3 linked regions of the Arabidopsis thaliana genome follow. The protein of the gene in region 2 interacts with the protein of the main gene of each other region in a pairwise test. Each region holds a gene or a part of one and is shown on either strand. Other genes may lie near its edges.

Region 1 (4,158 bases), on a different chromosome or scaffold from region 2:
AATGATGAGATTAACCTTTTTTAATGCGTTACCAAAAAGCTAATCCACGTAAATATATCCTATGTAATCGTTTTTATATAGTATCACTCATTGATGATATTTTGTTACAGTAACACACTTCATTAGGATAAATTACTACTCCGCATAGGCCGCTTTTTGGTTTTATCTAATGAAGGCCAAAATGGTTTTAACTAAGTGGACCCTGTGTTTAGTGCCAAAATAGAGGAATATTCCAAAATAAAATAAAAGAATATTAGTGAAAAAAATAGAAAAAATATAATATTTGTATTTTGTATGATCGCAGTTTTTAGAGAAGTACAAACCAACTGTATTACTGTGCCGTCATGTCATGTACCTTTCCTCTTTTCTCCAATTTTTTTTTTAAAACATCAATTTTTGGTTTCAGATATTTTTGTAAATTGGGTACTATATGACATGAAACATTTAAATATAACATAAACTGCAAGTGTAAGAATAAGAATGACATGAGACAAACAAAAAATAATAGTTTTGAGTAAGATAAAATAATTGTAATAATTAAGCATCCAATGTTTTAAAAGAATCCAAACAAGAAGCACCTTTCTATATTCATGCACTTAAAACTCTGCCAAAACCATTTTTGATTTTAAAACAGAAACATAACAAACCAACGAAATCACCGTAATTAGTAGCCAAGATCCGAAATTTCATTATAAAGGTCGTGTTTTTTGTTTTGTTTTGTACGAACTAGTAACATAGGTTTTTAAAGAGAAATAGACTAGAGCTGTACAAGTGGAAATGTTAACCACGAAAAACAAAACCTATTTTTCTTTTGTCTTCTTCATGGATGGTATTTGCTTTTTGATGGCTTAAAGTCGATCCCACTTGTAGCGACCTTCAAGCGGTTCGTCATTGACAATATCGAAGTTGTACCTGTGCCAAAGTGTGTGTGTTCGTTAGGATTCTGATTCTCTCTCTTTTTAGGATATTTGCTAAACTACGCGTCGGTTAATCTTTTTATCATGCGCACGCAGACATTTTTACTCACATTCCTCTCTCTCTCTCTCTAGGTACGGACTCACTCCAATTTTTCCCAAACCCCAAAAAGCAAAGCGCACACAACAACAACAAGAACACACGTGAGAGAGATGATGAAATTGTAAAAATGGACTCACTTTTCTATGAATTGCTTCTTCTTATCGTCTTGACTCTCTAGCTCCGAGAACAAATCCTCAATCTCCGCCGCCGTTGGAGTCTTCCTCACCCCCGGTTGTTTTCTCTTCGTTGCCGATGATGATTCCATTTCTGTTGTCGTTTCTCCCAAACCCTCACTCACTGGACTCGTCTCTTTTCTGCCATAAAAAACAGAGAAAAAATCGCCAAGGAGAATAAAATCGATTGAACGTCTAATTTGGGGGGGGGGGGAAACAAAAAGATTATGAACCTGAAATTGCTGGTGATGAATGTTGAGGTTTCGGTTTCGGTTTCGATTTGATGATCCTGAAACACAGAAACGGAAATAAAAAATCAAAACGAAAACTGAGAAAATCGTCTGATTAAATCGATTCAAGTAGAGAGGAGTTATTTGATTTTGAAAATTCACCTCCAGATCTACACCAAACGACGAACTGTTCTTCGCGATTTCTTTCGATTCACTGGTGAAACAACCGGAGCTGATACTCGAGGACTGATCACTTTCTTCTCCACCGATGGTAACGGAACATTCATCAGACGCTAAAGCCGCCGACGAAGCAACGGAAGAAGATGAAACCGCGAAGACGATGACGTCATGAGAGTCCGGTGATGAATCAGAAGAATCATTAAGCTTCGTTTTCTTCAGTGGTGAGAAGCTTGTGCTTGAAGCTTCTTCTGCAAGCTCTCGCTTTCTCTCGCTCATTTTTTTCTCTCTTGGATTTTTGTGTGCTCTCTCTCTCTGCTTTTTTTTCTTTCTATTTCTGGTTCGCTTCTTAACAAAGCAGAGGAGATTTTGGTGGGGAAGGAGAGAGAATGAATCATGAGCCGTTGATTATTTCAACGGTTGAGATTTTATTTTCCTTGGTGAGCGGACGGAGGTTATGGTATATAACGGCGCCGTTACGGAGTTTCGCTTTTATTTTCTTACACAAACGCCGTTGAGATTCCCAAACGCGTTTTCTCTCCCTTTTTGCCGTTTTTGCCTTTTTGGCTTCCTTTCAAAGCAATTGAAAACGCAATCATTTTCGGTAGTTATGACGTAGTAGCAACGTAACAGTAGTCATTATTTTTTCTTAAAACGATTTAAAGTATGAGTAAACCACAACTCTATTTAATTCGATTTGTTTAGGAACAAGTCTTATTTGGTCAGGGTCTATGAGAACCATCGAACAAGTCTTTTCTCGTAATTGGGTTTTATATTTTATGAGAATCAATTAAAAGCTAAAACCAATGATGTGACATATATCGAGGGTATATATATGAATGGTTGAGGTGTGAATAGAGATTTGTCAAATTAGCTTGATCCCTTCCATTGTACGCGTTTTATCATGGTTTTGAGATGGATATGTTAACATCCAGAACATAGTGTTGAAATCTTTTAATGTTAAAACTATCACGTAATTAAGGTTAATCAACCTTTTTTGAAAAACAATTAGTTCATAAACTTACTTAGATGGTCAAATATCATAAGCAATTAGACAAACTATTCCTTACAATATTTCAAATGAAGATACTAGCTATAATTACACAACAGAAGATACATGGTTAACCAATTTATAAAATACTTAGAAAAGAATTGTGGTGGTCGGAACAATAAATTAGAGATACCTATAGCAGAAGATACATCGATTAACTACATTCTATAAAATCATCTGTACTATTATATATGTTTGTCGGAACATGTCTAGAAGCGCCTCGTTAATTTACGTTTAAAACAATACTATAATTTTGTTACATAGTCAATTTTGTAAGAACCTACATCTTATAAACCAATTATACAACTTTTTGGTTCGTATCATCACCAAGACCATGAAATCAATGACGAATCAAATAATGCTTGAATCTGGAAAGGGAATAACAGTTTGGGGTTTGCTTAGTAGAAACATCAATTATGTCATATAGAGACTAACTCAGCTTAAGTCTAATTAATCTCTTGTTTATGCTTAGTTGTCTTTTTGAAAGTTTCCATGCATGTGTAAGTTTCTTCCACTGATCAGATACACATCAACAACAGATTTTGTCCTCTATGTCATTTTAATGACATATGTATTATGAAATAATGTACATGTGTTAAAACCATAATATAGCACCATAGAGAATGAGCCATTAAAGCTCAACTAAACTGTCCGTACAGTTAAAACCAATTGTAAACAACTAAACTCAATTCTCGTCTTAAAGAGCCCATATATGTATATATATATACAAAATGGCCAGAACGGTTTACAAATTTAAGCATATACTATAATTAAATTTTAGTGTAACTACTTCTTTATTCTTCCAATAAATGGGACCATTTTCAATAAATTTTAGTAATAAAAGGAATCATCGAGTAATAATTAAGTGACTGATGCAACAACGAATTCGCTGACCTAGGCATTTATTTAGGAATTATTAAGACAAATCAAGAGGGAATGATATAATTCAAAATAATTTATTCAGTGACCATTGTAATCCATATGATCATATATAGTCCTGAATAGGGTCGTCCTAAACTTTTAAAAAAATTGATAGAACTTTTCAATAAAAATTTCGCCTATCATTTCAAATCTTTTCTCATTTGTATGAATATATAATAACACTATCAATCAATAATCAAATATTTTTTTGTTACATTGTTGATTAGCTAGTTAGAAAAATGTAAAGATAAGTTGATTTTGTATGTTAAGATAGTTTCTATGTCACTTCCTACTATTAATTTGTATGTTAAGATAATTTTTTACTATGTAGAAAACTCTATGTCAAGATTAAAATAATTTTGACTGCCAAGAAAATTTTGATTGCAATACTTAGATATAAAAAGAAAAAAAGTGATTATAACTAGTACTCGTAACCAAGTATGTTTTATTAAATATCGTTTCACGATCCGAATTCAAATCCGATAAAATACAGGTTATTAGAAAGAAAAAAAATGATATTCTAACGAGATAATACACTAATATTTATTTAATAGATCTTCCATGAAACAAAAGACCGGATTAAACCCTA
Region 2 (5,656 bases):
GACATCGAAGATAACACTTGGAGATCAGATTTAATTGTTTGGATTGTAGAGGTTAGTTTAGTTTATAGTTAGTTAATAATTTGAACAGCTCCAAAGGCTGTTGATAATTAGTTACCATTGATTCTGTAACTTTTTTTTGTCATCATTCATTGTAACTTTGGTTACCTTTTACTTTGGAGCTGTTTTTTTTTTCTTTCTTTCTCAGTGATTATTTTCTTGGGTCATTTTGGATCCTAATGGCTGAAATAATTTATTCCCACCTTAATACAAAATCTCAAATATATACTATTCCTTAACTAAAATTCTAGAACAATGCCAAATGGATATGTTTGAAATACCTTTAATAACAACTAGGATTTAACCTGTGGTGTACCACGGACAAATGTTTTATTCATATATAATAATATTAAATTTTACGGTTTTTAATTTAGTATTTAAGTTTTATAATTTTATATTAATGTTATAACTAAAACAAATGGTGATGATAAAATAATAAAATAAATATTTAACATGTGCTATATCAATCCAAACTCGTCCCACTATATTTCATATCAATCCAAACCCGTCCCGCTATATTTCTCATCTCATGATATTTTTTTATAAGTTTAAATAATAATAATGTTTTATAAAGTTAAAATATATCTATAATATTTAAAAATAATAATTATTTTTTACTTAAGTTGGAAAGATTTTTGGAAACGTTTGTTGAGCGCAATATAAAGTATTTAAATTTTCAAATCTGAATAATTAATACCAATTATATATCTTGAAAGATCTTTGGCAACTATTGTTGAATATAATATCTTGTATTTAATTATCGACAGGAAATATTTAATGTCAATGGCATGACATTGTAAATACAAGTACAAAATTTATTTGCTAAAATGGCTGCAAAAATGTATATGTAGATTTACTTCTAATTTTAATGTTTCAAAGGACAAAACTAGGCATGACCATAAAATCCGAAGCCCGAAAAACCTAGTTCGCTTTGGTTCGAGTGGATCTAAAGTGTTTATTTTGGGGTTTTGGTTTGGTTCGTGTAGGATCTGAAACCTGAACAGATACCTGAAATATCGAAACTCAAACGGATACATGTAACTCGAAATAATACGTATACATAATTTGTCGGTAAATTCAGGTTCAATATCAGGTTTCAATTAAATTTGAGAACCAGCCCGAACCCGAATAGACCTCAACCGATATTTTCAGTTCCTAAATGTATTTTCAATCTCTTTACCAAAGTAACCCAAAAACCCAATCTAAACAGACCCGAAAATCCGAATGTCCAGACCTAACTAAAATCGTGAGTCAAACTCAAAAAATGATTGATTAACACTATATTATACTTTTACTTAGATTCTATAAATTGGACACATGTATGGGTGTTATTAAGGGTTGGAAACATAAATTTAAGCCATGACCTTATTTTTGGTTGGAAAATTCTTGTTCTTTTTTTTGTTAGTAAAGGGCTGTTAATAAGGGTTTTAATGGGTTAGCGAACGACACCGTTTATAATAAATATGTTTGCTAAACGACATCGTTTGACCTTAGGGTTTATTGTTTAACATGAAAGAACGTCGTTTCACCAACGTTTCTTCTTCCTCGCAAGTCTCAAAGCCAGGAACGATCTCGCCGTATGAGCAACTTCCGACATTAACACTGTATTGCTCTGCCGTACTCTCCTCTTTTTCCCTTCATACTCGTCTTCACATCTGAATTCCGACAAGATATTGCGTCTGCTCTCCTCTCTTCCCTCATTCTCGTCTTCTCATTACCAAAAACATCTTCTTCTCGTAGCTAACTCAATCCAATTCCAATCTCCATTCAAATCGAGCACCAGATAATTTTTTCTCCTAAATTCTAATATAAGCCCTAAAATTCAAAATTGAAATATCTATAGAATCTCCTTCCGATTCAGACGGATAATCGCCATCAACAGCGTGTGAATTCGATCAAAAATCTGAACTTTCCACAAAGAAATTCGAAAGCTCAGATTTTTCGATTTCGAAAATTTTGAAAACTCAGTTAATGGCGGATTTTCAGACATCAACACAACGGGCCAAGTGGATTTTCACTCCCCAGAAACTGGTAATCCCCTTCTCCTTCTGATCACTACAATGCGGCTTTATAATTATATTTTGTTCATCTTTGGATTTTCTTTGCTTTGATTGCTTCATAGAGAGTCGGATTAATCGAGCATTTGGAACTCTTTGTTACTTAGTTATGTGTGTTGTTGTTGTTATTATCTTACTTGTTGTGTAGAGATATTGGTATTGCAACTAAGCTGTAATGTTGTAATTGTAGGCAGAGAGATATAAAGCTGCTAACCAGAGGGCAGTGCAAATGCTGGAGAAGGTTTGTTAGAATAATTGTTGATATGGAGCTTTAGTCCTGTATTCATGTTTAGATTTTAACTTATTGTTATTCATAGTGTGGAACAACTCAAGTTGAAGTAGATGCTAGTGGATCACTAACATATCCTAAAGATAAAGTTGGTTCAGGAGATCAAGGTAAAAATTTTGGTTCCTTCAATATCTACTTCATACGTATCATAGTTTTGTTTGTCGAAGTTTAAATAATGTTACTTTTTGCTTTGTTACTCTCAGCTGATAAGAAGCTTAAGCCTTTGAGTGCTGATGAAGAAAGGTTCATGAGAGCATTTTATGAGGCAAAGGTCCAAGAAGTGTGCAGTGCCTTTGCATTTCCTCACAAGATTCAGGTGCATTTCTACTCGTCGAGATAGAAGTTTATGATGAAGTTAAAAATAAAATACCTGATTTTTGTTTGCTCTCTGAATTTATGTTTCTTCCTTCTAATATTTTGCAGGCAACAGCCCTCCAATACTTTAAGAGATTTTATCTGCAATGGTCTGTTATGCAACATCATCCAAAAGAGATAATGTATAGTTCTTTTAAATCCTCAAAATGGTCAAAAGCTTTGCTTTTTTCAAGAGAATAGTTTTGAAATTGTTTACCAAATGGAGCTAAGCATTTTGTATTTCTGAGCTCTGAGAGGCTTTTTAAGTCAGTCATAAATGGTCCATTGTTGTAATTTGGACTAATTGTTACCTTTCATTGAACAGGTTAACCTGTGTGTATGCAGCTTGTAAAATAGAGGAGAATCATGTATCTGCTGAGGAAATTGGGAAAGGGATTAACCAAGATCACCGAATAATTCTCAAGTACGAGATGGCTGTTCTTCAGGTATGATATGAGTCAATTAATTTGTACCAACTTCCCTATGTTTATTTTTCCCTGGTGTTCTTTTCTCTCTCTATTCTTTTGTTCATATTATATTAACTCTATGTGCAGAGTTTGGAATTTGATCTGATTGTTTATGCACCGTATCGTGCAATCGAAGGTTTTGTCAACAACATGGAGGTAAATCAGTCCTGTCTAAATTTCTTAGTAGGTTTTCTTATTTCAACTGGCTTTTCTCTGTTTACATCTTATAGTGATGAGACTCTTTTTCAGTTTATTGGCAATTGTTTTGTTGCAAACAAAATTCTGAATGTTAACTTAACGCCAAGAACTTGGTGAACCATAATAGGATATACCAAGATTTTCAATACTTTTTTCGGTGTGTTATTTTTCATCCTTGTTGAACTTCACGCTATCTTCAAAAGTAACCTCATCTTTTCATCCTATAGGAATTTCTTCAAGCTAGAGATGATGAAATCCAAAAACTAGAGGTAGATCTATCTTCAGATATTTCCTTTATCTTCACTAGATTTTAAGCATGTGGTAACTGAATGTGGGATCAAAATGTAAATTTTAGTGTAAGTTTGTGATCATAGCTGTAAGTCTATTTACTTAACAGGCTTTATTGAAATATTATTTTCTCATACTGGCATAACTTTTCAAGTATTCTGCAGAGTTTGCTCAAAGGGGCGACAGCAGAAGCCGATAAAGTTATGCTCACAGATGCTCCACTCCTCTTTCCTCCTGGCCAGGTGGGCATGCTAGTTTATTTTGTCTCCCTAGCCTCTTATTATCAGATTAAAGATACTGAATAATATCCATCAAAGAATCTGGTTAAACTCATTGTTTGGGATATTTCAGTAAAGCTTTAAATATGCTACTCAAGACATAAATTTAGGATGAAAGTTGGTGCTTTGTTTTCTCTTTGACTGATATTTAAGTGAAATTAATGAATGTTTATGATATAGTAGTATAGCTTATCGATATATACTCACCTTGTTCCTTCTTTCAGGATTTTTCGTTTTTCTTTAGCGTATATGTAACAAAAGAAGTATCACAAATTGTTGTACTGTCTCTCAACTCTTGAACGTGTGCCCTTGTAGTTGGCATTGGCGTCGTTACGTATTGCAAATGGGGTTCTTGGAGTGATTGACTTTGATAGGTTATTTCTCTTATTCTATATCCATCCCGATTATTTACCCTTTTAATCTTTCCATGATATTAATCTCGTGGTCTTGAATTTCTGTATATGCAAAGCTTTTTACTGGTTGTATTTTCAACTAAACTGCATTTGGTGCAGGTACCTAGAGAACATTGTTTCTCAACCGAACTCTGAGCACACGACTTCAGAGCTTACAAAGTTACTTGATAACATCGAATATTTGGTATTTACTAACTTCCATAATTATCTTAACAATGAAACTTGCATATCTAAAAGGAAGTTTTACTAGATGCTCTCTCTTATCTCAGGTAAAGAACTACAAGTGCCCAAGTGAAAAGGACATGAAGCATATCAACCGGAAGCTAAAATCTTGTCTAGGACATAGTTCTTCACATGACGAGTACACTAACAACCTCTCTTCTACTAATTCTTTTAACCACTATATATATTTCATAAGCTTTGCTTCTGCAATTGACTCCCTTCTCTATTTATCTTCATCAGGAGTAAGAAACGGGAGAAGAGATCAAAACACAAGTCCCATAGGAGCTCCAATGATACACCAAACGGGGCACCGCCACCCATAGGTTGAGTTTCTCGTACTGCCATTAGCAATTCTTCCTTTGCACTTTGGTTTAGTTTTAATCTTATTGAATGAGAAATTCGTCTTTTATAGTTTCTTCCCCGTTGTTGTTCTTACTAGTAAATTTGAGCAGATTATGTATAACAATGATATTGGCCATAAGTTTTGTTTATTCTGAAGATGTTAATGAATTTATAACAAAACTTCCATTTATTTTAAGTTTTGGTGTACATAACAATCGTCAAAAATGGTTTGTTTGCGATAATGATCAACTTTTTACATGATCAAAAGTTTTTCCAGACATTTTGATACTTTCTAGTTACTACCACATCTGTTCTTACACAGAAACAAATGGATATGACTAGTGTAGCGGTAACTATCAAATCCTAATAATAACAATGAAAATTTGTATTAAATAACCAAAAACCATCGAAAATAAAATTTGGATTGTGAATGAAACTTGTAAAGATGCTTGATTGGTTGTGCTAAATGTCTTTTACAGCCATAATATATTTGTTAAAGACTAAATTGTTGCCAATTATGTTATAGTTTTTTTCTTTAACTTAGAGCCCCAAAAAAAATCTTTTTGTTTTGACTGTAAATCTTTAATTTTCTACATCCTATTTTGTGTTGTAGATTTTTTTTTTTTTGTAGATTTTTTTTTTTTTTTCTCTCCTCTAACTTTTTGTCACGATTATTTTCAACTAATAATCT
Region 3 (3,579 bases), on a different chromosome or scaffold from region 2:
GACAATACAGAGCCACCAGCTCTGATTTCCTCAGACGTCGTTACGGTGAATTTGGTGAGTTTTCGGCCTTCAATTGAACCAACACTAATAGTCAAAAGAAAGATAAATGCAAAAACGTAAACATTAATCGTCGCCATTACTAGAAAAACCGAGACGAGAATTAGAAAAAAAAAGAAGCTAAATTATAATATTTAGTCGAAGGCGAAAATGTATTATGTATTGATGCATGAAACCTCTTGGACCATCTGATGTATTTATAGGGATGAAATTTTACATAACATGGGCGCAACACTTGAGGAGATAAATTAAATATTTAGGGGGTATTATTGGTTTATGATTTTAAAAGAACTTTAACGATTATGTAAAATCGTTTGTTATTCAATCAAGATTTTTAAAAAGTTTATTAAAGTTCTTTGTTATTAATTTAAGATTTATAAAAAGTTTTCTAATATCTTTATAAATCTAGGGTTATAGATTCATACTTTTTTGTAAAGTGAGTAAAAGTTTTATGTTATTCAATTAAAACAAAAGTCGTCTGCATGACCTTCATGTAAATTTCAGTCCCTTCTTTTGATTGAGAAACTAGGGAATTTTTTGGATTGAAAATTGCTTGGTGAGTTAAGGAGATCTAATCTTGATGCTCACTTTATTGCCAAGAGCGTAACAAAAAATGATCGCCGTTAATCGTATGTAGCAACTAGGTTTTCTTTTTGGTTAAAACAACTTTTTGAGGAAGAAAAAAATGCCTAGTGTAATACTGGTTGATCTAGAATGATTGTCCTTGATCCACATTTTTTTGTATGTTTGGTTGGAAATTATGAAGTATATATTTATCTTTCAGTGAAAAAAAAAATATTTTTAATTTTTAAAGCAAGACATGGTAATTTGAATGCACTCGCCACTCCATTTTGTTCATGCTTTGAGACAAAAACAAAACATAGAAAGGCTGACAAGGCCCATGGGAAGTGATGGAGGCCAAGTTTAGTTCTTAGAAACCTTTACTATATTATGACTTATTAAGCCCAATATATCACGATCGACACGTGCTGTTGACAACTTGACATCAGGCTAAGCAAATACGCAGGGATAACAAAAATATAATTTCTAGTGTCAGTTTTACTTTTACCTTATTTTACTCACAGGTACGTAGTTTTTAGGCTATCCGTAACAATCCACCTATACTATACACATAATCTATATATAGTCTCTATCCAATTCATTTTAAAGTAATATGAACTTTCTAATTTTACCTAAACTATAAAATTCATCCCAACTATACAAAAAGCTTGTCAATTATAATTTAAAACATTTTAAACGGTTTCGCGTAATGGCAAATCTGTGAATTACCAATAGATGAGAGGGTTTTTAAAATAGTTAGTTACACCACAATTATTACGCCTCCCGTTCCGTTAAGTCACCGTTTATAACCGACACGTGTCAATAAAACAAACCATCGGCATAAGTAACTCCATAACATCCAAATAACGGCGCCTCCAGTTTCCCCGTTAAAGATTCCCCGTCACTGTAACGGGACCACTAAAACACGCCATTTCTCTATCACACACAGCACAAAACTCAATCCTGACCGTTCAAAACCAAATTCATCATCTTTCTTTCTTCTTCTTCCTCATCCTCTCAATCATATCTCTCTCTCTCACAGAGATTGTGACTTCACGCACACGTAACCTAAATCGAAGATGGTGAGAAAATATAGAAAAGCTAAAGGAATTGTAGAAGCTGGAGTTTCGTCAACGTATATGCAGCTACGGAGCCGGAGAATTGTTTATGTTAGATCGGAAAAATCAAGCTCTGTCTCCGTCGTCGGTGATAATGGAGTTTCGTCGTCTTGTAGTGGAAGCAATGAATATAAGAAGAAAGAATTAATACATCTGGAGGTTATTTAATGTTGTTGATTCTAGATTCTTGTAACTGTATATGTATCATTTAATGTTAATGTATTTTTTTTTGAAATTTTGAAATTTTTGTAGGAGGAAGATAAAGATGGTGACACTGAAACGTCGACGTATCGACGGTGAGTGTTAAAAAAAAAACTGAAAATGATTTGAATTTTGAAGGTTTTATTATTTTCCCGGTTATTTATTTGACTCTCTCTTCAATAAATTTAGAATCTTGCTTGTGAGTTATTTTAGGGGTACGAAGAGGAAGCTTTTTGAAAATCTGAGAGAGGAGGAGAAAGAAGAATTAAGTAAATCCATGGAGAATTATTCATCGGAATTTGAATCGGCGGTTAAAGAATCGTTAGATTGTTGTTGTAGCGGGAGGAAAACGATGGAGGAGACGGTGACGGCGGAGGAGGAGGAGAAGGCGAAATTGATGACGGAGATGCCAACGGAATCGGAAATTGAAGATTTTTTTGTGGAAGCTGAGAAACAACTCAAAGAAAAATTCAAGAAGAAGTAAGTTTTTATTTTATTTTGTGAGTTTGATTTTTATAGATAATATATTTTTTATTCATAATTTAAAATTGATTTTGAGGTAAAATTAAGAGTGAGTTTATTTTTTTTTAATTAGGTACAATTTCGATTTCGAGAAGGAGAAGCCATTAGAAGGACGTTACGAATGGGTAAAGTTAGAGTGAAGAAGAAGAAGAAGTTTATGGTTTTTTTTTTAACTTTTTAGATTTTAATATTTCAGGGAATAAGTTAATTTTATTTTGTTGATTTGGAAATATAAGATTTGTAGGAGGAATGTTTTTAGAAGTACGAAATTGCACAGAAAAAGAAGAAAGCTTTTTAACAGATTTTAGAGCCCAGAAAAGTCGTGTCTTTTAGCTCTACTTTTACCTCTTCTTCGAATCTTGTGTATCTTTTAGCATATTCTTTAGTACATTTTTATGTTTTTGGTGACTGATAAAATTCTATCCCCACACAGGTACAACCACACTCATTTTTTTGTCTTCTCCGTTTTAATAATATTCAACCAAAAACATCAAATGCATTTTGGTAGATTATCTTACCGCCCTAAACGCTTAAAATTATTTTAGAATTTTATTTCTTACAACGTTTGATATGGATTAAAAAGTACTATGAAATTAGTTATTATTGTTCTACTACTTAAATTAACTAATCGACAATTTCAGTGCAGTTTTTTGTTGAACAAAATCGTACCAACCATGTCAGCTAACCACACCAACTAATTTTTTTGTTTCATATTCAGCACCGAATATGATTGAGCTCGACCAATCAGAATTTCAAGATGATTCTGTTATTCTTAAAGTTTATTGATTAATAACAAATCACAAACATTCTATCACACGAAACTTGGTTTGAAACTTTTCAAAATTTTAATTATAATAATACTAGCATATAATAAAACTTTAGATCTGTAAAGGGCATACTGTACTGGCCCAATGGTTAGAGAATTTTGAGATAATGCCATAAATACATTATTCCAAATGATGCAGGACCATTTTGTAACTAGACAAATTATCCGAAGACTTGGAAACAAAACTCTTTCATGGACCATTTCAGAAAATCTTCAAAACAAATGATCATGGACCATTTTGTATATGTAAGCTTAATTCAGATCACAAACAGGTTAAATGAGGGACTCAAATAA

What was found.
Region 1: the proteins of CYCH;1 (region 2) and KRP6 interact in a protein complementation assay, tested with the Arabidopsis thaliana proteins (one large-scale study listed by BioGRID).
Region 3: the proteins of CYCH;1 (region 2) and ICK1 interact in a protein complementation assay, tested with the Arabidopsis thaliana proteins (one large-scale study listed by BioGRID).

Annotation. Positions count from the first base shown.
Region 1 is NC_003074.8:6,615,780-6,619,937, forward strand, and holds KRP6 (KIP-related protein 6), read right to left. Parts: upstream 2,173-4,158; 5' UTR 1,877-2,172; coding exon 1,583-1,876; intron 1,480-1,582; coding exon 1,424-1,479; coding exon of another isoform or gene 1,332-1,423; coding exon 1,155-1,331; coding exon of another isoform or gene 1,151-1,154; exon of another isoform or gene 913-1,150; coding exon 849-912; 3' UTR 551-848; downstream 1-550. UniProt on the Arabidopsis thaliana protein: Binds and inhibits CYCD2-1/CDKA-1 complex kinase activity. Regulates cell division which is crucial for plant growth, development and morphogenesis. May inhibit CDK kinases specifically involved in the G1/S phase transition.
Region 2 is NC_003076.8:9,769,734-9,775,389, forward strand, and holds CYCH;1 (cyclin H;1), read left to right. Parts: upstream 1-1,569; 5' UTR 1,570-2,028; coding exon 2,029-2,088; intron 2,089-2,304; coding exon 2,305-2,355; intron 2,356-2,431; coding exon 2,432-2,510; intron 2,511-2,606; coding exon 2,607-2,719; intron 2,720-2,826; coding exon 2,827-2,900; intron 2,901-3,082; coding exon 3,083-3,203; intron 3,204-3,311; coding exon 3,312-3,380; intron 3,381-3,649; coding exon 3,650-3,691; intron 3,692-3,874; coding exon 3,875-3,952; intron 3,953-4,303; coding exon 4,304-4,362; intron 4,363-4,500; coding exon 4,501-4,585; coding exon of another isoform or gene 4,586-4,651; exon of another isoform or gene 4,652-4,670; coding exon 4,671-4,946; coding exon of another isoform or gene 4,947-4,951; 3' UTR 4,952-5,142; downstream 5,143-5,656. UniProt on the Arabidopsis thaliana protein: Associates with CDK-2 and CDK-3 and activates the CDK kinases.
Region 3 is NC_003071.7:9,976,040-9,979,618, reverse strand, and holds ICK1 (Cyclin-dependent kinase inhibitor family protein), read left to right. Parts: upstream 1-1,528; 5' UTR 1,529-1,697; coding exon 1,698-1,895; intron 1,896-1,988; coding exon 1,989-2,032; intron 2,033-2,150; coding exon 2,151-2,417; intron 2,418-2,532; coding exon 2,533-2,599; 3' UTR 2,600-3,029; downstream 3,030-3,579. Other genes in the region: AT2G23440 (uncharacterized protein), read right to left, coding at 1-137. UniProt on the Arabidopsis thaliana protein: Binds and inhibits CYCD2-1/CDKA-1 kinase complex activity. Regulates cell division which is crucial for plant growth, development and morphogenesis. Functions in turning cells from a mitotic to an endoreplicating cell cycle mode.